Linked DNA regions of Astyanax mexicanus. The protein of the gene in region 1 interacts with the protein of each later gene in a biochemical or structural test. Links are inferred from orthologs where the notes say so. Each region holds a gene or a part of one and is shown in the gene's direction. Other genes may lie near its edges.

The links.
Region 2: the proteins of fermt2 (region 1) and ilk form a complex in vitro, tested with the Homo sapiens proteins (2 studies listed by BioGRID). The link is inferred for Astyanax mexicanus from reciprocal best matches to the Homo sapiens genes FERMT2 and ILK.

Annotation. Positions count from the first base shown.
Region 1 is NC_064421.1:15,587,603-15,599,505, reverse strand, and holds the start of fermt2 (fermitin family homolog 2), read left to right. Parts: upstream 1-4,331; 5' UTR 4,332-4,622; intron 4,623-6,482; 5' UTR 6,483-6,483; coding exon 6,484-6,640; intron 6,641-11,903. UniProt on the Homo sapiens protein: Scaffolding protein that enhances integrin activation mediated by TLN1 and/or TLN2, but activates integrins only weakly by itself. Binds to membranes enriched in phosphoinositides.
Region 2 is NC_064427.1:35,778,233-35,790,135, reverse strand, and holds the start of ilk (integrin-linked protein kinase), read left to right. Parts: upstream 1-5,712; 5' UTR 5,713-5,840; intron 5,841-7,720; 5' UTR 7,721-7,858; coding exon 7,859-7,947; intron 7,948-11,903. Other genes in the region: timm10b (mitochondrial import inner membrane translocase subunit Tim10 B), read left to right, coding at 1,263-1,808. UniProt on the Homo sapiens protein: Scaffold protein which mediates protein-protein interactions during a range of cellular events including focal adhesion assembly, cell adhesion and cell migration.

The DNA of each region.
Region 1 (11,903 bases):
CCATATAAGACATGTTTTTAGTATTTTAAAATGTTATAAATATATATATATATATATGGTTGGGCGTATGGTGGTTTTAACAGCACCAAAATGATACTTCTGCAACATCGGCTCACAGGACCTTTTTTTTTTTTTTTTTTTTTTTAAACACTAACAAAACAAATCCCTAATTCCTACTACCAGACAGTGTTACTGTTCTCTGAGCATCGTCTTCACCTTACTGTGCCCTCTTTGTTCAATAGATTTTGAAGAGATTGGAGCTTGATTAGCTTTTAGCCTGGCACTTGTCTAGCAATTGCATGCTTCTCCTTCTAATGCAAGTTCAATTTATTTCAATTCAATTGTATTCATATAATGCATTTACAACAAATGTTGCCTACTTTGGCATGGTTGTGGTGGTAAGTCTGATGTAAGTTTGTCCAGTTTGTTTTCAATGAAAGCAGAGATGGTAAAAAGCTGTCTGGCTATAGACATAGCCTAGCATGTGTACCTGCTCATAGCCTGAGATTTTTAGCTTCCTCACTTGCCATGTTTGAGTTACTGGCAGACACTAGCATGAGGACAGCTGTGGCCTGGAGTTCGGGTTTGTGTAGAAACTGTTGGCGTATGGTGGTGTGCTGCAAGTATAAAAAAAAAAAAAAATTGAAAATTGACTAAAAGCCACCCTATTCAGTAGCTGTTTTGGTTATTGGTTATGCTTCCTTTGGGGAATGGACACAACAGTGTATGTGGTTCACAATATTTTACTTCCATGTTCCAAAATCTAATTATTGAACTGTACCAAAAGATTTTAGGGCACATTGGAAATAAAGGTAAATCCTAACCTTTTAGTACCCTTTGCATAGTGTTATGGTTATATACAAGCCTGTAGGGGGGTGAGAAAATTAATGTTTATCAGTATTTTATAAATTGTTACAATACATTTCACAACACTCACTAGTTGCATATTTCACTATAAAGAGAACATTTTACGTAGAAAGCAACAACTTTTTTCTGCTCCAGCATTTCACACCTCAATAAAACATAGCATATGAAAATCATTAAGGCAAATAGCCTAAAGTATTGTAATAGTTTGTATTTTCTATATCACTTTTGTTTGCCTTTGCATTTCTAATATTTTATAGCTTCATAGCTCATCTTGCTAAATTTGAACTTGACCTAGCATTATAGTACAGCTAGAAAATTGTTTAGTGCATTACATTTACATTCATGTTTATTGCATTTGGTATATCTTGTCCAAAATCCTTCAAAAAGGAAAACATCTTACAGTCTCAGACAGCATAGGGAGGGTGTTTAACCCCCTCTTTACAGGATGTTTGACATGTCCAGCTGCCACATGCTGAGAGCTGCTAACAGAGGCCTTTAACACAATGTCTTTTAACAGTTCCTGTGACCGAGAGCTAAAGTTCATGGGGTAGGGGTGCAAATTACATTAGTGTTGCTCATCATGTCGATGTTCGTAGAGTCACAGAACTGAAACTGTAAGCAGAGCTGCAGTCTAGACTCTGTCCAGAGTAAACATGAGCCTGGGTTTATTAGTCAGTGAAGAGTGAAGGCCACCTCAAGGCTCTGGCCAGCAGATGGCAAACTGCTCCATGTTTTTCTGTGCCTCTCCTAATAAGTACTAGTGCTGAATTTTCCATTAGCCCAGCCCAAATCTGAACTGCTTCATTTTATTTCTGTATGAAGTTATAGTTGTAAATGGATTCACTATGCAATACTAATACCTCACTGTTAACATTCTCTTGGCAGCTTTATGGGTCTTTTTGGTTGTTATAAAGGATTTAAGAATTGTAATATTAGAAGGATAATATGTGCAACAGGTAGTACTGTATTTCCTATACTAATCATGCCAGTTTTAAATATGAAAGAATTGGAATTACATTTGTTTTAGTTTCAAATGGTTTAAAATTTTGTGTTTTGAGTGACGTTTTTAATTTTACATTAACCAAAGTGATTTATTTTTTTGACTTCAGTGAAACCAGCTAAACTCCATTATTTTAGGTTGAGTGACAGGCTGTCTGCGTGTGACCTCAGCGTTCCTCTATGAGGTACTTTTCTCCACTCCAGTGTGACTCAAAGGCTGACTCTTTGGCCTTCTCCTGCAGGCCTCTCCCCATCCACAAGCCCCCATTTCACTCTCACTCACTGTTTACACCGTAATTAAAACACGGCCTATAAAAGGCAATGGCTGTGTTGCCAGACGCTGTGGAGGGGGTCAGAGCAGCAGGGAGAGAGGTTATAAATCGCTTTGATGCAGTCCAAGGCTTCTGCCTGCATTCTTGAGCTGAAGCAGGTCGTGCAGTGGAGCAGCCAAACGCCCCGATGATTCATGCTGCACTGTCCCATCTGAGAAGGCCTGCTAATGTAGTCCAGCGCTGAGGAGAGAGGAGCAAACAGCAGCACAGCCATCCATCACTTCACTCTTCTGTTCTATTCTGTTCTATTTTGTTCAGTTCTATTTTATTCTATGTTTTTTTAAAGATGTATTTTATTGAAACTTTCTCATAATATATTTAATGGTTTATTGTGATGGCAGAGGTTTTGACTGATTTACAGTCTGCTTTGAGTGCATTTAGATTACTGAATTAAAATCTGTTACCCAGACAATGCTGTGTACATCAATGTTTAAACTGCATTGTTTAATAGTTTAAAGGTTTTAGTATAATACATTGTTAAGTTGATACATTAAATATTTTTTCTGTAAATGTATTGGACCACTGTGACAAGATGTATACAATGCAGTTTTATGAATAAAAAGGTTCTATTTTGTTTCTAATAAGAATTAAAAGGCTCCATTAAATACACTCCAGTCATGCTATTCCAGTGTAACTCTTTCACTGGGCTGTATTTCAGATGATTAATTGTGTGTAAATCCCCAAAAAGAGCAATGTTGTACTCCCCTTGGATGTAGTAGGGCAACATTAGTATTATTTCCATAAAAGGCAGTCAGTTATACTGGTCAATAAATGACCCTTCAGACGGCTCTAGTATTTTATTATCTGTTCACTTGGGCTTGTTTTAGAGCATTTGGTGAATTCGATAACTGTGTAGTATAACAAAAACAAACCCATATAGTTTACCAGTATAATATTGGCAAATGTGGGGTCACATTTTAAATCCTATTTCTACCATGATATATAAGAACAGGACATTTACCTTCTAGACAGGCTTAAAACAACAAAAAATTGTATTTCTGTATTTCTATGGGACTCTTATAAGATGAATAATGTACATTATTATTACTATGTAAAGCTAAACCAGGTCAAAAGCTTCAAACGTCACAGCCTATGTTTTACCAAGTCCAACATATCAGAAAACACATCAAAAGCAGTGAACATCTACAAACATAGAAACATACGAAAACATATAGAAGAAATCAGAGCTCTGATGCTAACTTTTTAGTAGATAAACAGTAAAAAGTTGCAAAAAACATTTATACAAAATTACATTTAACTTCACTTTTAACATATACAGCTCTTGAAAAATTAAGAGATCACTTAAAATTATGAGTTTCTTTGATTTTATTTTATTAAAAACCTCTGGAATATAATCAAGAGGAAGATGAATGATCATAAGCCAGCAAACCAAGATGAACTGCTTGAATTTTTGCACCAAGAGTGCCATAAAGTCATCCAAAAGCAGTGTGAAAGACAGGTGGAGGGGAATATGCCAATATGCATGAAAACTGTGATTAAAAATGAGGGTTACTCCACCAAAAAATAATTTCTAAACTCTTAAATCTTTATGAATATGAACTTGTTTTATTTGCATTATTTGAGGTCTGAAAGCTCTGCATTGTTTGTTATTTCCATTTCTCATTTTCTGCAAATAAATGCTCTAAATGAAAATATTTTATTTGGAATTTGGGAGAAATGTCCGTAGTTTATAGAATAAAACAACTTAATTTTACTCAAACATACCTATATGCCTATAAATAACAAAATAAGAGAAACTGATTCAGAAACTAAAATGGTCTCTTTTTTCCTGAGCTGTATATTATTTAATAAGCACACAAAATATCATGTATATCAAAATATAAAAGAAACTTTTAAGTGGGCTCTTTTTTGTCCAGCGCTGTATATAAAGCAAAACAAACTTATTTTCATTAAGTCAGATCATTAGATGGGCCTGAAGGCAGCATCAGTGTAATAAATCAGTGCTGCCCTCAGAGCAGACCGCCCTGCTGGACTACAGGAAGATGCTGAAGTGAGGAAGGGGGCGAGGGGTAGTGCGCGAGGAGGGCGGCGCGAGGCTGCGATAGAAAGGAAAAGTGGGATTGGAGCACGGAGTGACGTTATCTGGTGGAGAGAGGGAGTGAGGGAGGGAAGAGAGAGAGAGGAGAGAGAGAGCGCCCGGGTGAGAGAGTGAGTGAGTGAGAGAGAGAGGGAGACGGCCACTGGACACCATTAGCTAGCTAGCTAAAGCCCTGAGGAGGTCCAGCTAGTTTTGAGGGACTTTATTTGGACCAGTCCTTTTGGAAATCTCCTCAATGAGTTAAAACACGTTTCAGCTCAAACAAAAGGAAGAAATAAAGGAAAGAAACGAAGAGGTGTTGAGTTTTCGCAGCGTTTGGAGCTGAAGTGGCACTTGTGGATTTGGTTTAGCGTGTGCTGGTGAAGGTGAGTGAGCGAGTGAACGTTATTTTTACGTTAAATCTTTCGTTAATTTGAAAACGCGGGTCGCTATAACCCGTCCGCGCGAGTGTATTTTAGACTAATTTCTCGGTGTTTGCGGTTTTATTGAGTAAAATATAACTTTAAAAGCACTTTTAGTGTGGTTTCTGTCGCGGGAATATAGTCAAACCCGCGGTGTCCGTTAGTCTGAGGAGTTTTATGAGGAGTTGAGGGACTGAGGGAGTGAGTGTGGAGCTACTTACGCAATCCTCCGACTCCGCCAGTCCAGCTTTACCGTTAGTTCTACAGATCTGCAGGCCTCGCAGGTGAACAGGCCCGCCTCACATTTAACACTTTTCTTTATTTAACCCGAGCCTCCATACCCCGTTTACACCAGCTGTACGGTCAGACTAGCTGCCTAGATTTACTGGTGGGTTCCTCGTATTCAAACAAAAGCCAAGGCAGCGAGACTCTTAAGTTACAGCATTAAGTTAACTCTAGCTGGTAACAGTTACAGGAGTGTTGAACTAGAACTGTGGATGATATGAACCTAGTTTTAAAAACTACAAAATAAAAGGCTGTACCAAATTCATCTATGGCATGATTCAAAACTATCTTTGGTTATTGTCTTTTATGGTATTTTGTTTATTACACAATCCCATACCATACCAAAACATCTAGGCTTACAATTTGGTCATAAATAAAAATGTGTAACTATAGTTATAGGTGATACAGATATAACGTTAATCTATCTACTGTAGATATAACGTTAGCGTTATAATGGAAAATGAGAACAGTGTGATTTATTATTTTAAATAAATGCTTAAAAACAGCAAAATAGTAGTATCCTACTATAACTAGGGGTGGGTGAAATGGCACGATATTTCAGGATATAATATCGTTCACGATATTCAAAAATGTTTGCGATGTTATTGCATACAATACGGTATGGCACACCCAGAAGTATATTTGGCTGTTTATATTCTTACTATATTGTTAAATTTGTGTTGTAAATTGTGAATGGTACAATATAAATTCTCCAAAGTTAACTTACCTGAAATAAACTCGTTTTACATTGACTTCCATTGACAGTTAAGAAGGTTTTTTTTGTTTCTGTTTTGGAGATAATTGTATGATTGCGTGATATAGACCTGTCAGATAACTATTTTTGCTTGATATAGCCTATTGTACCAGAAATATGTGCTAAACAATATTATTGTTGTATGCATTTAGGACAACTGATATACTGGAAATACTGTTTTCCCGAAATATGTTTAAAAAAAATTTCTTTAAGAGGTCTTGGCTGCTTTGTTATGCTATTTTAGTATCATTATATCAGTGGCATTTAAATGGTCTTAACATGACAATAGTATCATATTGTATTGTAAATTCGGGCCTACCCATACCTGTTCTAAAAATAAAAGTTGAATACAGAAAAGTAGGTAGTTTATCTTGGTCATACTGCCCAGCCCTACTCATATAAAACTGTCATATTGTCATATAAAACTGTAGTTTACATCAAATGTATTGTGCTTAAATGGTTATCTGCTTATTAAAGCTAAATTGGCCAAACGTTTTAAAATTAAGTGGTGTGAGAAAAGCAGTTTAATCATTATGACCAACACAACAACAAATGGATGGTGAGCTTTTCTTTTGTACTTTTTTCCACAAGTAGATCTTTACATTTTGTCAGAATCTCAGAAATATCATTATTTTCACTGACTTTAATATAAAGGTTTTTTTCTTGTGTAAAGTCGCCATCTTACGTATAAATAATTTTGTTCTTATGCCTGATGGGACTGAAAGAAATGAAAGAATGAGGGCATAGTTTGTAGATGAAACACTGATTGCACTGATGTTTTACAGGATGGCGCTGGACGGTATACGGATGCCCGATGGCTGCTATGCCGATGGGACTTGGGAACTGAAGATGCATGTGACTGACCTCAATAAGGATGTGTCTTTGAGAGTCACTGGAGAAATTCATATTGGCGGAGTAATGCTGAAGCTTGTTGAGAAACTTGGTAAGTGTTGCTGCCTCTTCCATCTCCTTGGCCCCTGTAGCTCGTTAGTGCTGAAGCTCAAAGTGCTTTATGTCTTACATCACAGTTAGTTAATCAGCATGCAGTGTACATGGGACTCTGATCATATGATAGCTGTTAGTTCACAGTTCAGATAATCTTCTGGATCTTGGCAAGGTATCTTATGTGGTGTTATTTTAATGTCACAATTCCCTTTTGGTGTGTAGAATACTTTGAATGCTGGGATTATAGTCCAGTACATTAAGCTGCTGCAGGTTTTAAACGTTGCCTTACTTTGTTTCCTCAGTGATTAAAACTGAGCCTTTTTGAGGTGCCATGTTCTTTGTGTTTTAGTTTCATTTTCGGTAGTAGTTTGAATATGTATCGATGGGTATGAAACATAAATGTGAAGAGTCAGATTAGCCTTCATAAATTTGATGTGTTGTGCTTAAATCTGTCTCCCTATCTGAATTTGTCTACCCTTTTTGTGCATGTGTGTCAAACAGCTGTTTATACTCCTGATGTTTCTGGTCACAAATAACTGTTTTTAAACAAACAACAGCACATCGCTTGAGGTGAGACAGATTATGGTGCAAAGTCAGAATTCGGCAAAACACTGGCGATGCAGCAAAACAACTTAGGCTGTGCGCTTAAACATGTCAATGTGTGCATGTAGTTTCAGGAACAGATTTTTTTGTTCATATTACATACAGATGTAGGTTACTTAATGAATGTTAACCTTTAAGACAAAATCGAAATTGATTACTGCAACTGGGCAAATATTCACACATTTCAAAAAGGTGTATGGAAATTTGAATTCACGAACATTAACAATTGTACGACCACAACAGAAAAGGTATAGTTACATATTTACAGACACGTCAGTTTTGGTTCAGTGTTTCATTTGTGGACTTTGTCTTCCATATTGTTTAGTGAAACACACTTTGACCTTGATATTGAGCTTAACTTTGTCTTTAGTTTGCCAGAGAACAACTTAGCATACAGTTAAACTAGTCCATAGTTCAGCTTGTATTATAGTCTTTATGATAGCTTCTGTACGTGCCCCTGTCAGCCACAGGTCATTTCCTTGAACTTGTGAACCAACCCCAGTAAGAGTTTGCATGAGGGACGTTATTTTGGACTAACAATTATTAACCCTTGAGCGAAGGCTGTTGTGTAAGTCCTTGACTGTATACTGTGAGTTACGCTCCATGCTCCACTGCTCTTGATTCAGCAGCAGAAGCAGCTCAGAGTAAAACCAGCTTTAATTCCATTCCCACAATTTTCCCACAAAGTCAAAGTAAAAAAAAAAAAGGAGTGGGACATTGTACTATTGACGTGACTCTTTCGATTCCAAACCATGATAAGATGCAGTTCTTAGCCATGTCATATCTTCACTGGTGGTTGTTAAGAAATGTGGAAAGGGCATTTCTGAGTGAAATCTTGTGCAGATAGTTCTACTCCAGTGATCAGAGAATTCATCGGTCTTGCTATGATTACATGTTGTGATAAGTGGTGGGGTGAAAGTTAACTAATTAAAATAGAAAGTTTCTTCCGCAGTTTGCCCATTATAGAGGTCACGCACTGCCTGTGAGGAAATGAGCAGTTTCAGAGCAAGAACGCAAGTAATGGTTACGTACAAGAGGGTTCGTTGACCCAATAAGGCTCTCTCTGATGATTTAGTAAGCTAGTTTGTGGTGGAAAGTCCTTTGTCTGCTCCCCAAGCTTTCAGCTTCTGACCTTGTTTTAATCTCTCCCTTCCCCCTCTGTGACATTGCACATATGAGAACAGGCACCTCTAAATTGTTCTCAAGTCATTGCTGTCACGTGTTGCTCTGGACTCTGTGATTGGTCAACAGTCGTCAGATGATGCTTGTCAGATGACTCGCTCTTTCTCTCTCTGTCTCTCTCACTCTTTCAATTTTAATCTCTTTGTTATGGGTCTTTTCGCGCCCTTGTAAGATTGCTTTTAAAGGGATATTCTGTCCTGGCAGCTTTTGATGATGCAAGCTTAGCAGCACATACCTGCGGCACACGTGTCCTCTGTCTGTCCCCATACATCCTTTTTCCACTGACAGGCTCAGCTCGTGCTTCAAGCTCTGAAGGACTTTCCTAGGCCACAGTAGGCCCCAGTGTGTCACACTGTCAACATGGTGCAGCAGAACTTATGTGAACTTTTTGAACTCTAAATATGTCCTGTGTAGTCCTGGGAGGTTAGATCTATAGATAATTACTAAAGGGAAATATGTTTACGACGACACCTTTCAGTTTCGTGTAGAAACGCCATCCTAGTTGCTACTTTAATAAAATACAATGTAGCATGTTTACCAGTACAGACGCTTCTTTATTTATATTATTTATAATTATACAATGTCAATAAATGCAACAAACAGTCAAATCAGTCAAACAACTTTTTTTGAGAAGGCAACTAATGTATTTGTTTTGTGGCCCCGATAACGTTTAGTTTTTAGTTTAACTGTGTGGGGAAACCCGGCTCAGCACGGTTTCTAAGCATTTCGTGCCCAACAGTGTTTGTGTTGAAAACCCACTGAAACGGTTACCTGCTGTGCTCAAAACCGTTCAGCCCTCTGCTGTGCTATAAGTTTCCATTTGGAAACACTGTACAAAAAAGTCAACTAATAGCAGAATTTACATTAATTTTGTATCATTACTGAGAAATTATTTATTTTTCTTCTTTTTTAATGCAAACATTATTTGGGATATATTTCTAAAACATTTGATTGACTTCCAGACTTTTTTGTTTTCATATGCAAACCACTTCTATACCATCTTTTGTGTGCCCTTTTCTGCAGCCCAGGCTTTTTCTCTCAGCAGTGCCTCTAAAAATCTTAATGGATTAAAATGTGAACGTCAGGAAAGTGCTTTATTGATCATGCTGGTCATTTCCGCCAGACCTTGTCAGGAGAGAGTGGTTAACGATCAGAAATATCAATCACATGCAGTACTACGTGTATTTTAAACATTGCTATCCTGTAATTTAACCATTCTGCCACAGTATGTAGCCTTTGGTTTTTGGTGTGCAGAATTTTGACTGTGGCCAAGAGGTGGGCAGTATGACAGTATTGTAGCATGTCGCAATACTTATTACATTTCAGAGAGAGGTCTATATAAAATTATAGTAGGGGGAGTGAGGAAACACCAGGTTTTAGTTCATTTTTTAGTTCAGTGAGTATATACTCAGTGTTAAGCATTACAGTATTACTGTACTCAGTTTACTACTTCCTCAGAAACTGGGCTAGGATGGCAACATTAGTCTAGGTAACTTTAACAAAATACTGACTGCCTTTTCTGTTTCAATTTTAAGTCATGAAGCAAACATGCTTGTGTTAAGCATTGTGTTAGACTGTGGATATTCTTTTTTGAACTGTAAAACCTATATAAGTTAAATTAAGCTAACTGAATCCACCTTCCTCTTTTCTCTCTTCTTGTTCTGACTTATTTCTTATTTGTTATACTTATTTTCTTCATTCTTATCAAACTTCTTCAATTCCTTGTTAAAACAACAACAAAATGTTTTATTGAGATTGTTTCATGCAAAACAGTGTGAAACAGTAATGTTGCAGCAGTGTGTATGCTGTCTGTATGCTGTGTATAGTCTACTATAACATCTACTGTGATAGTGTCTTTATATACCATGATATAATATTTTTTCCATATCACCCAGTCCTGTTCTTTCTTGAGACAAGATCCTCTTTGTTTCACAGAGAACGATACAGCTGAAACTCCAGTAACCCAGAACTGAGACATCATTAAATTGAGCCGGGCACATTTTGTAAAGACGCTGTGTGTACCCGACGTGAATATGTATTAGTGTCTGAATTCTGTCATTGAGTGAACAGTCTCCTCTTTTGGGACTGAAAAGAATGCATTATCATGAGGAAACCAGATTGTGTGGGACAACTGTCTTAGTCCCCACACTTAATTAGAAAAGTGTAGCAAGGGCATTAGATGAAGAAAATGAAATGGGTGGCATTTATTGAAGTCTGCTACTTGAGTTTTTTGCTGATATTTACAGAACTTTTATTAAGAATTAAATCAGTTAATAGAGTTGTTATGGAGTGGACTAATTTCTAAACTATTCTACTGTTTTGTCTTGATCTTTTGGAGAAATAGACAGAGCTATTGGAAAGTTTTTTTTTTTTTTTTTTTTTTTTTTTTTTTTTTTTTTGCTTTAGGGAGAGGGGTGGGGGCTGGGCCACCCTTGTGTGACGTGGGATGTTCTAATAGAATTCCATAAAAGTCTTATGTTGAACAGGAAATGACTTCCAGAGTTTGGCATGTTCCCTGGACTCTGCCGTCATCACTGCATTTTCTGCTGCCTGCTCAGGCCTCGGGTTCTCTTCAGTTTTTTGGCTTGTAGTGAATTATTCCTTTTTTAGGCCTGAGTACTATTTTTCCCCCAAATGTTGTGTAATTGTTATCTTAAAATCTGACCAAGAGTAAAGCCTAGTGTTATGGGTGAACATGGCTGCCCAAACACAGCCATACAGAAAGAGAAAGATAAGAAGAACTCCAGCTGCTGTCTAGCTTAGGCTGGGTGTAATTCTGTACAGCTCATGTCACTGAAATATTGTAGTGGGGGTAAGATGGCCCACCGTTGACAATGGAGCAGGGGCTTTCAAGGAAACGGACGTCATTTAACTCAGGATGCAACAGTTCCTGTGTTGTTGTTTTTTTATCCAGCCTCCATGGGTTAGGGGCTTTTGGAGTATGTGTGCCTCTCACATTTTATCAGGGATCCACACGAATAACGAAACTTGGGAAAACTGGAAGGTGTCAAGGCTGTGTTGTGGGAAGGATGTGATTCATTTGGCCACATTCATACAATTGTCATGCCCCTTTTTGTGTTTATGTTCTTTAGAATGGATTATTATTGCTTTAATTTGGTTTCACATTCAGGTTATGCACCTCTGCGTTCTGATTCTTTCCGTAAAATTATGGAAATGCCAGAGGAATAATGCTGTGTCTTCAGAACGCTCTAATCTATTCTACAGGAAGTAGTTAGACTGAGTAGGAGCCCTTCCCTCTGCAGAGCTTTCCTGTTGCACTGATCAAATCCGGCTGTGATTTAGTGTTTTCCTGCAGCTCTGTGGCTGTCTCGCTCAGGCCAAGCCCCTCTGCCTGTAAAAACACTAACATGGCTGCTTTGTGTTCAAGTCTACTTATTACAAATTGTGGGCTAAAATTCAAGAGCAGATGTGTTGAGGAGCTTTAAATTCCTCAAATGGCTGAGATTTCTTACACA
Region 2 (11,903 bases), on another chromosome or scaffold:
ATTAATTGGTAATCCATTAGTATTATTTGTTCTTTAAATGTCCATATATAATATTTATATTGGCTAATACTACTGTATATTACATAAATTATCATTTGTTTAATTTAACATCCTAAAGAAACCACAATAGTCTACAAAAACGAGCCATGTCTCATGCACTAAAATCACATATATAACAAAAGTGATAATTATGTATCATTATTACATTTAGTGTTGATGTATGTGTAAGACAGACACGTGTATTGAACATTTATGGGAATATAGAACAAATCGCAGGCATTTGATTGCCAAATAAAGAACAATTTTGTATATTATGGGATGAATGGCAACCCTACACTCAACTCATCCCAGACACTTGTCAAAATATCTGTTGTTGTAAAAACCTAAGGCAGTAAAACAGACCTGTGGGGGTTAATTGAATTCATCTGATTAACTGAATTACTGTATATATATATATATATATATATATATATATATATATATATATATATATATATATATATATATATAGCTACAATTTGTTAGAAAAAAATATATAAAAACAATGTAAAGGAAACAGTAGCTTTCACATCACCTTAAATGCTGCTGTAAAAATTCAAACTAAATTGTAATCGAGATTCACACATATAGTTAAAATAGAAAAAAAATCTAAATACTTTACAATTACAATACAATACAATATCGCCAAACCCTAGAGTAAAATATAAGCTGATTTTCAGACTGCATGAAGTTAATGGTCTGTCACAATAACTAGGATATTGACTATCATACATTACAAGGACACAAGCTTAAAAAATGACCTTGGTACCATCCAATATTTGTTTTTAAGAGACACACCCCAAAGCAGCCAGCAGACAGTGATTGAGGTGATTCCTTTTGTTGATGCGTTGCTCTGCGATTCAACTGGGCGAGCCGCTAACATTGATTTATTTTTGATAAAATTAAATTGACAGGCTTACCTTTTGGGAGATTGGTTTAGTTTATACTAGTCATCTATTCACAGTAACAAAAAAAAAAAAAACAACATTTCTTAATGTGAAATTGAGGTTCAGATTTCTACTGTATAAATCACAACATTTTTAATTACGTCCAAAACGTAGTTTCATATTTCATAAGTAGTTGATATGAATTTATAACCATCTAATTTAAATCTATTATTTTATTTCTGTTGCCATTATTGTAAATTCAGTCTGATTTACATTTCCTTTAAATTGTGAACCTGAAAATATGAACAGTCACTTACAAGTTGTTCTGATTTTCAGGAGCGCTGTGTAGACAACTGTGCTAGCAAATTAATCCGCTCCAATCATCGCCTCATGGGCACCTACGTGAAGCTGATGCCGGCGATGGTGCAGCGACGGATGGAGGAGATGGAGAGCAAGGCTGCAGAAGCAGCTAAAATGGAGGAGGCAGCTAGAACACCAGCGGAGCCGCTGGCTGGAGGTTTAGCGACAACGGGTCCAGCTTCAGCCGCGCTCTCTGCTGAACATGTGATGACGGCAGAAACGCCTGCTGCATCAGTATCATTTCCACCATTAGCTGCTGAGCCAATGCTAAGTGATCTGTCATCAGTCCCAGCACCAGCTACCGGTGGCACAGCCACTACCATTCCCTCTTTAGGACTGCAAACTGAAAATGTGTCATTGGTTCCATCGCTTGTTACAGAACCAACAACTCTGGGATCTTCAGAGGGAACTAGTTCTTCTATAAATTCAAATATAGCGCCAGGCATCCAGATAGACAAGTTGGCTCTAAAGCAGATCACACTAGACAGCAGCAGCACATCCACAGGTACAGGTTCATCATGACTATAGATTCATTGTTTAGAGATGTGTTTTGTTTTAAAACATTGAAGAATTTGAAAAGAAAATACAGATCTTATCATGTACTTCTAAGCAAATTATACTCATCTTAATAAAAACAATTGTACCTAAAGAAAGTGTCCGATTACAATGCTATTTAAAAGAAATACAGGTTATTAGGAACAATAAATTATTAATGTAGATTGATGCAAACTCTTGGTCATATTTATTGAGCTACACATATAGAAGTACCAGATTTCTCAACATTAGGTTAGAGAGATGTGGCAGACTGTGTGTAAAATATAGAGATGGTTGGATACTTTATTGGTCCCAAAGTAACTTTGGGCAGTCCTAATAATATAAATAATTAAAGTCTAAAGAACTTTCCCACTCACATCTGTTACAATCATGGTTCTTCTCTGGAATGACTCAAAAATGTATAGAAACACCTGTTTTTAAAAGTGTAGAAGCAGTTCAGGCAGCCACTTGTATGACTCTGACTGCCATTAATTTTGCTTTCGGTTTGAACTTTCAGTGTTCCTGTAATTTAGCAAAATTAGCTTAAAAAATAGCTTCATCTTCGGTATGATAAAATAGAAGATGCAGCCTTTTACTGTGTTGCCAATACAAAGTAAAGACTGTAAAAACATGCATTTTTCAAATGCATTCAAGAAAAATGAATAAATTATTAAAATGTCTGTTACTACATTGTGTGCTTTTTTTTTTTTTTTACAATTTTTGTTGTAACCTTTTCTTTGTTTCTTGGTAAAGGTATTTTGGAACATGATTTTATATCATTATAAATATAAATTATAAATATAATTTTATATCATTTTGTTAACTAATATAATAAACAGAATGTGGAATAATAGAATGGCTGTTGCACAGCAAGGGTTATGAAAAAAAAACACTGCTAGTCATTGTCATGACTGCTGGATAAAAACAACTTGCATAGAAATGTAAGGTACCATTCAGTTACAATAGTGCTTGAAACATTTTTTCTAAATATCTGCATAAATGTAACCTGAAATAAAAAAAAAAGAATAACAAGAACCAAATGGGTAACGAGAACAATTGAGTCAAAGATTAGTTGGTGTTCCTAATAGTTTAGGCTCCACCAATCCACAGGCAGACAGAATGTGTACAAATGGGAGATATTTAAGACAATTGTTATTTCCGTCCCCAGGAGTGATCAACCAGCAAATAACGCACCAAAAACAAGGAGTGTAACAGTCTGTGTGGTCACAAATGAACGCTGGGTAACTTCTAAGCAACTAAAGGCCTTTCTCACGTTGACTAATGTTAATGATCATGAATCCAAAAAGAATGTTGCTGCCTGTGTGGAGTTTGCTAAAGCTCACATTAACAAGCCAGAAAGCTATTGGAATAGACCTGACCTTAATCTAGCAGAAATGTTGCAGAAGGACATGAAGTAGAAATCCTCCTTCATAGTAGAAATGCAACCATTCATGTCTGAAACTCTAGGTCAACCAAGATTTTATTAAATGTTAAACATTTTTTTAAACTCTTTACAGCCTGCCATTAATCAGTATTTCAAATGCTCTAATGAGATCAAGAAAAAGTTTCCTACAGAGGCCACACAATACTATAATACCTTTTCTCAAGTCAGAATGTTCGGACTATATTCACAAGCTTGCACTGATAATTACAAAATGCATTGACCCAATAAAATATTAAGTCAAATGTAGATGTCAATCGACATCGATCTGGGGCTCCATGTAAAATCTCACCTCTTAATATGCCAACATTGTTTCAATGTCGTACGTTCAACCTTTAATTAACCATAGCTCACATTTGGGGCGCTTAAAATTGTATGAAAGAAGAAAAAATCTGTATGCCATGAAGAAAAATTAACAATTTTATTTTTAGTCTCTCTATATACTGAATATACATCTCTGAAAAGTAGGAACTGTACAACTACAAACAAAAAAGCTTTTATTGCTACAAGTAGAAAACGATCGAACCATTTAACATTAAATGTTGTTTTAACGATATTACTTCAACCATATGTCAACCACATTTTAACGATGTATAAATAAACGGAAGTTATATAAATGTATATAATTTATATCCTTTGTGATTTTCTAGATTTTATTTTTGATATTCCATCTCTTACTGATAAAACTTACCTACCCTTAAATAAGATATGGGACGTTCCAGGATTTTGGTACATTTCAGGGTGGTCAGGTGGTCACTTGTGAAAATTTGATCTTCAATTTGATCATTTTTAGTCATATATTTATTAAATACAGGTAATAGGCTATCAAAAAGTTTGATTTGTCAAGCTCAGGTATCAAAGCAGTTTTTTTTAATTAGATTATGCAATATATTTGGTAACTTAGAGTAACAGGGTTGCAAAGCTAGGCTAAGTTGTGGTTTACCCCAGGAACAGATGCTAACTGTAAAATATAGCGATAGATAGATAGATAGATAGATAGATAGATAGATAGATAGATAGATAGATAGATAGATAGATAGATAGATAGATAGATAGATAGATAGATAGATAGATAGATAGATAGATAGATAGATAGATAGATAGATAGATAGATAGATAGATAGATAGATAGATACTTTATTGATCCCCGAGGGGAAATTCTAGACATCCAGCAGCAGACACAAAGTTACAAATTGAATACACAAAGTTACAAAATAAAATATATAAAAGATAAAGATACATATAAATACAGTCAAATAAAAAAATAGAATGTACAATGTAAAAATGCAGTCTTTAGTGTGTCTGTAATGTAGAATGGAGGTAGTGCAGTTGAACAATAGACAGTGAACACCAGTTGATGTGCATAAAGTGAGGATAACTGATGTCAGCCATACAGAAAGTGCAAATAAACAGTTATATAATGATTTAAATTCAGCAGTGCAAAAGAGATAGTAGATGACAGTAGATGGATAAACTAGTGAATGAACTACTAGTGCAAAATAGGGTAGAACTATAAAAATAGTGTTATAGGCATCAGCAAATCTGAGAGTGTCTCCATAGCTGAGGGTGTGTCCATGAGTTGCCAGGGTGAAAAAGTGTCACAGAGTCTTTAGTTTGCTGTGCTGGGAGGAGTCTTATGGCCTGAGGGACAAAAGACTTTCGGAGTCTGTCTGAGGAGCATACATCTTCTATGTATAGAAGATCAAGGACAAACATGGTTATATAAGTATATAAAGTAAATTTTGACTCTACTCACTATTAGTCTTACAATATGAGTAACAGGGTTGCGTTCACTGGGTGACACACACAACTGTCCTTGTGATGTCACTTCCTTTGTGCCAGTAGACAAATATTTTTAACTCTTTCTCTGCCAGGTAAAATTCCTTATGGTAACAGGGTTGAGCGCATGTTGTGGGACACAACTTAATAGCATAAAAACTATACCAAAGAAGTTGTTTTCATAAGTAAAGGAGATGCATATCAACAATATACAAGAGGAAGTCATTTATTTAGAGCTTATTTTAATTGTTAAATTTGCCAAAGGAGTTGGTCACCCAATCTGTGGGACAAGAGATAACGGCCATTTTTTTTGAGGTGGTCCAAAGGTATTCGGTCTTTTGAATAATATCTAAGGAGCTTATTTTTCCACCATATTTTACAGTTTGTCTTATAACAAGTACATTTGTCACAAAATAGTCATTTAGATATTTTGGAAATGTAAATTTAAATTTAAGTGGTGGGACAGGAAATGTACCAAAATCCTGGAATGTCCCCTATATAGACTGTTCATCTCTTTCTCAGTGGGCAAACTTACTAAATGAAGCAAGGGATCAAATAATGATTTCCTTTACTGTAAAAAATCATTTCTCCAGGGCACTGTGTAAAATATATGACTGGAGGGCAGGTTGTGAGCTGGTTTCCAACAGAGGGCGATGAAACCGTGATTTCTGCAGGGAGCTCTTCCCTCCACAGAGAGAGGAGGACCTACAACCTCCGACTAGGGTGTGGACATTAGTGTCCGTCAGACTGCCCTTACCATCCCTGGAGCTTCGTCCCGGACTAAATTACAGTTTTACCAGGTAAAACCCGTGTTTTTATTTTATTTTATACGAGCGTTTACGGCGGTTTCACGGTGGTGTGGTGAGCTCTCCGCCCGCAGTTGCCTGTTTACGGTGCTAGCTCGCTAGCTAACACCCTAACCCAGCTAGCTTAGCGTATAGAGGCTAACTAGCTTAGCTAACTGTCTGCTAGCTGAGTGAAAACGCTAATGCTGTCTCAGTTTATTCTTCTAAAGTAGGTAAAGTGAGGGAAAACGTGCTATTTTCATTAAAAGATACACTTTAATTGAAAGAAGTGTAATTTTATTACATTTAGGTTGTACTATTTGCTTGTTAAATACCATAAAAGGGCTTGTGTCTGCTGTTTTCTCCTCTTTTTAACTACTAGCTGCTTTCTGGCTTTGAAAACGTCACCAGTCCTGAGTGAACACATAGCTGTTAGTTAGCTAGGTTATCCTAACTGACTGAATGTCTAGGCAGTGTTTTATTGTGTGATTAAATCAGAAAAGTGCTTAAACTGTTTACTTTCAGGTCCACACCCTTTAAAACATGTTTCTGAAGTATTATTAGTCTCTTATTACTCGAATGTAATGTTTTCTAGCTGTTTTCTGCTGGACTGTAGTCTGTAACTTAATTAGTTGGTGCAGTTAGTTGCAGTTAGTTGGTGTCATATAGAGTTAAATGGCTAAATGTATGTTTATGAGCACTGGCAGGTCTTTACACAGTCCTTGGCACACAGGTAGAACAGCAGGAGTAATGCCAAGACGTGTGTGTGTGTGTGTGTGTGTGTGTGTGTGTGTGTGTGTTGGAATGTGAGCTTCCCAAAGCAAGTTTTGGATTCCTTAAAATAAGGAATGGCAGGTCTTCTTTACACGGTCATTGGCACATAGGTTAGAGAGCAGGGGTGATGCCGAGAGAGAGAGAGAGAGAGAGAGAGAGAGAGTGTGTGTGTGTGTGTGTGTGTGTGTGTGTGTGTGTGTGTGTGTGTGTGTATGTATGTGTGTATGTATGTGTGTATGTGTGTGTGTTGGAATGTGAGCGTCCCAAAGCAAGGAAAAGTCATGCACTCCTTAAGGAATAGCAGGTCTTCTTTACACACTCGAGAGTGTGTGTGTGTTAGGGATGTAAGAAAATATTGATAATGCATTGTATCATGATATTTTGTTTTCAACAACAACAAAAAAAAAAAACACTATATAGCAGCTGCACTCATTAGATCCCACTAGAACTGGGTGATATTATAAAAAAGTAATTTAATTAATCAAATGAATTGGATTAACATCCCAATAATACATCCCAGTGTTCTTATTTGATAAAAAGTAAACTTTTCTTGTATTTAGTATCAGTAAATATGATTTTATGTTTTTTATTTCCTTTCCAATTTTGATTTAAACATTTGTATGGCAGTATTTTGCAGTATATGTAGTATCGTATCCCCTGTATCACAATCAGTATCATATTATCAGGTGCTTACCAATACACAGCCCTAGTCTGTGTGAGAGATTTGCAATATAAGTTTTCAAATTAAGAAACTAATTTTGACTCCTTAAGGGATGAGTATGTGTGTTTGGGAAAGGCTAGTGATATTGGCTGGGAGCTGAGGTTTATTATAGGAAAAAAAAAAACTGTACCGTGGACCATACAGTCAGATGTTTGTGTTTAACAGATTTCCAAGCTTTCCTACTTTAAAAGTTGTTGGATGGACAGCAAGCTATTTTTAAAGTTCTCTTGACCCTAAAAGCCCTGAGGGGCAGTAACTTCTGGGTCATTCAACCTTTTCTACTAAACAGATTAGAAAAAAAAATGTTTGGCTGTGCTTAAGATGTCAATTATATAGTCATAGTGTATGCCATATATTCCCATTGTATCCTATGCTAACAGTCTCTTTTCCCCCTTTCCAGACGGCCTGCACCGTAACTGAATGGTCCACTGCCCTTCACTTGTGGCATCTAGGTACCACTGCATCACACCCCTCTCCCAGGGCGCTCCTGGTAGGGGAAGAAGGATTCTACCAGTACGAAGAGTGAGGGGGAGCTGCAATGGATGATATCTTCACCCAGTGCAGAGAGGGCAATGCCGTAGCAGTCCGCCTCTGGCTGGACAACACTGAGAATGACCTAAACCAGGGGTGAGTTGACTCCTGAATGCACTAAATATCTGCAAAAATGAATTATAGCTTAAACGCTGCTGACCAGCTATCAGGAATTGAAGTGAAGAGTCACAATTATGACAAAATACAGTCATCGCTTATTTTTGAGGTAATGAATGGGTTCTTAAGAGCCTGCATAATCACAACACTAATCTTGACAGTATTTCCTCTTTGAACTGAAACCTTCCTTAGTTCTTCAGCGTACCTCTGACTCTTACTGTTATCTCAGGTTTTAATCTTTCCGGAAGGCTGCTCCCTTTTTTTTTGACTTGGTCTGTTCATGTCAGGCTTTTTTCAGTGTTGTTTTATCTGATTGTGAGGGATTGAGGTTGAGCAGTGTTGTTTAACTCAACAGATTAAGACATAATAGCCTCAGTTTGGAATGATGTCAGGTGTGATGTCTCCTGTTTCCAGTGTGGGTTAGGTCTACATATATGTAAATATTTTGTTCTTTAGTTTCCTACAAAATTTGGTATCAAGAAGATCTGCTATAAAATGTGGTTCATGTTTTGAGAGGATTTTAAGCTGCTGGGTTCTTTTAAATTTTTTTCCCTAAATGTCCTGTACATCTCTCGTATGCGCTCATGAGCTCTGCATGTTCCTGCGGTTTGGGGAGTGGCTTTGTAAGGAGGTCTGAAGGTAGAGTGTGTAGAAAGTGTGTACCACATAACCCCACCTTGTGATAAGGAATAGGGTTGAATGGTTGTATATGATGCCTCATGATGTCCATAAACATTCTTAAAATATAAATATATACTATAAATATACTCTTTACTTTTTCTCACTGCCTCACATTCACACACATTTCCGATGAAATTTACTGTCCGCAAGTTTAAGAACCTGCCTGGATTCTTCAGACACAGTGAAATTCCCAATAGTGATGTTATTGACATTATGAGAGCATTATTGGCTTCTTAAGGGGCAACAAAGGCCACTTTCAGAAGGTGACCTAATAGAAAAGGCTCTGCACGTGCTGGAGAAGAGAATTGAAATCATATCCCTATATGGTACAGAGAATACGCAGCGTTGATCCACGACTCTTGTGTGTCTTGGAATACCTCCCCCCTGCCAAACTCTTGCTCATAGCAGCCTTGGCTTTCAGTCTTTTCTGCATTCTGGTAATGTTTTCCAGACAGCTGGTGCGGCAGAATGACTGTGGTTGCTTTCAAACAGGTGGATTAATCATTTTAGTCACGCTCATCTATTCAGTTCAAAGTTCAGTTCATATTTGATCATCGTTTTGTCAGAGATTTGTGAGCGTGATGTTTAAGCTTGATGAGTCTAATGAGCCCAATCACAACCACTTTTTTTTTGTCATTCTGATCTAAACCCATCCCTCTGCTTTTAATTAAGCTCTTTACTGCAGGAAAGCAGTGTGTGGTTAACACTCCCAGTGGGGAGTGTTAACATGCCGGAGCGCATACGCTGTCTGATCAGCGGATCACAGGCAATGGCACGCTCACAGCAAGCAGCGCCTGAGAAACTACTACTCCTCAGGGTAGGGGCACAGACACGTGAGGGGGTTAGAGAATCGTCACGTCCGATGTAGATTTTTATCTTGGCATTTCCTGCACATTTCAAACTGTGCAAGTCACTATGAAGCTAAGCAGCCAGGCTGCTACTGTCTGTGTGCTGAGAAAGCTTCTGAAATGGAGAGACCTCTTTGATCCAGACCAGACTTACTGTGTTCACAGGAATCTGTCCGTATGTGTTTTACAGTGTGACTAACATAAGGGATGTGTCGCATTATGTGTAGCCTCTCTTGCGCACTATACTCAGAGCAGCGTCAGAGCAGGGAGGGGGAGGAGTAGCTGGACTGTGCAGGAATGGCAGGGACAAATAGTTTCCATACTATGAGCTCACTAACCAGAGCATGCTGACTTGAGCCTTACCAGTCCATTCTGTCATTTTCTCTTTCTTGTGCCCTTAAAGCCAAAACCCTCTACTGCATGATATATTTGTTGAGCAGAAAAAAGCAGCCAACTTTTTGGGTGCTTGGGGGGGCTGCTGAAAACTTTGAGAATCACTGCTTTAGCACGATTCCTGTGTAATCTTGCTGCGTAATCTAATCTAACCCTGAGGCAATAAATATAAAAATCCCTGTCCTAGGGAGTAAATAAGAACAAAATTTAAAAAGACATTAAAAGTTGTGTATTTGGGCACTCGTTCATTTACACTCTTTCAGTTTCTTTGTTTATTTTCTACATTCCGTACTCTTTTTTTTTTTCTGCAGTAGAAATTAAAGGATCGATCAACATCAATGTTTATAGGGGGCTTCTCAGTCACATGATGTTTCAGTTGTTTATTGTTTAATCTCTAGATGTTACATTGAAGCTGGCTGCAGACACTGATTGAAAGCCAGTGTTTTTACTTCTTACTGCAGATGCAAGCTCAACCTGTCCTTTCTTGTTCGGTCTAGTGTGTTTTTATTTATTTATATTTTTTATTTTTTGCCATTTTTGACCCAGACTAAAACTCGCACACTCACATTTTGTGAAGTAAAGAGAGTAAGGCTAACAAGATACCCCTCTCAAGAGTACATGTGCATTGAGTAGCTACTGGCACACCAGCACATCAGAGATAAAGTTATTAACCACACAAAATTGCGTTGAAGACTGAACTTAATTATGCGTTGAAGACTGAACTTAATTATGACCAGAAGTACAGCAGGTTTTTTGTATCACTAGATAAACAGCCCTTATAGTTTATGTTTCTACTGAGCTCATCATTGTAGTTGTAGTGAGTAAAGGAGTTCCACCGCACTTTAAATGTGGATGATTAATGTTGCATCCAGGCACAATGGAGATTAGTCAACACAAAAAAATGAAGAGGTTCTAATAAAAAAATAAATACTCAGCATTGGAAGTTTTTTGTATGAAAAACATAATTTAATATATTTTTTATTTTTTACTTGCTGCACTTTTTTCTCCATACTTAAAAAAATCTGATTCTGGAAAAGTGCCTTTACTCTCTCTTATATTCTCTCCCATCCTCTCTCGCTCCTCTCCAGTGTTTTCCTTTTTCCAAAATTAATGCTTTAGCCAAGGTTTTGGTTTCCACTGCTGTTCACTCGCTCAAGTGTAGCGCTACCTCCTAATTATGCTGTTTTGGACCTCTTCACAGAGCTTGGCCCTGAGGACCTCTTCTAATGTGCAGTATAATGTGCAGTTCTCCTTCTATAGCTTGTTGTGCTGGTGCAGGCATCTAGATGTCACGACCCAGAGTTGTTGTGGGAGGGGACAGGAAATGGCAAACACACAGTTGCCTCATTTATGACCATAGCAGTTTTCAGTTAGGGAAATGGACTTGACTAATATACTGTATCAGACATAGCTTTTATTGGCTCCTCTTATCTGTGGAAATACAGGGCTCAAAAGGTTTCCCAAGCAAAAAAAAGGCGTCTGGTGGTCTGCAACCCTAATTAAGCTTGTTAGAGTAAAGCAGTGAAGTTCAGATTTGTTTAAATGGTACAGAGCTTTGCCTATACCTACTTTTCTCATAATTGGTTGTCATTTGTGGTTGTTGGATGAATTAGCAAAGCATTTTGTGGTTTTCCATTTTTCCTCTCTGAGGTTTGATTACAACCTACATGTGTTTGGCCTGTGACTGCATACTGAGCAGCACTGGAGGCTGACATGGTGAAATGTACTGTAAATAACGTAATGGCTCCACCTTAAGTAGAGTCACTGTATGTGTGATTACAAGTGGCTGAAAATAGCACAGTCTTCTCTCACATCCTCTATTATATAAGGTCTGAACTACTCAAAACAGCTGCCCTATGCTGCTGTGGTTGATTTCTGTCCAGACACAGACTAGCATGTGTGTTTTGCTTTCAGTGTACTGTTTAATACTTACTGCTTAACAAAGTTCAGCCTAGCTCATTCAGCTTGATTTACGCTTTAGAATTGTTTTTAGTAATAACTAGGCCTGTAACG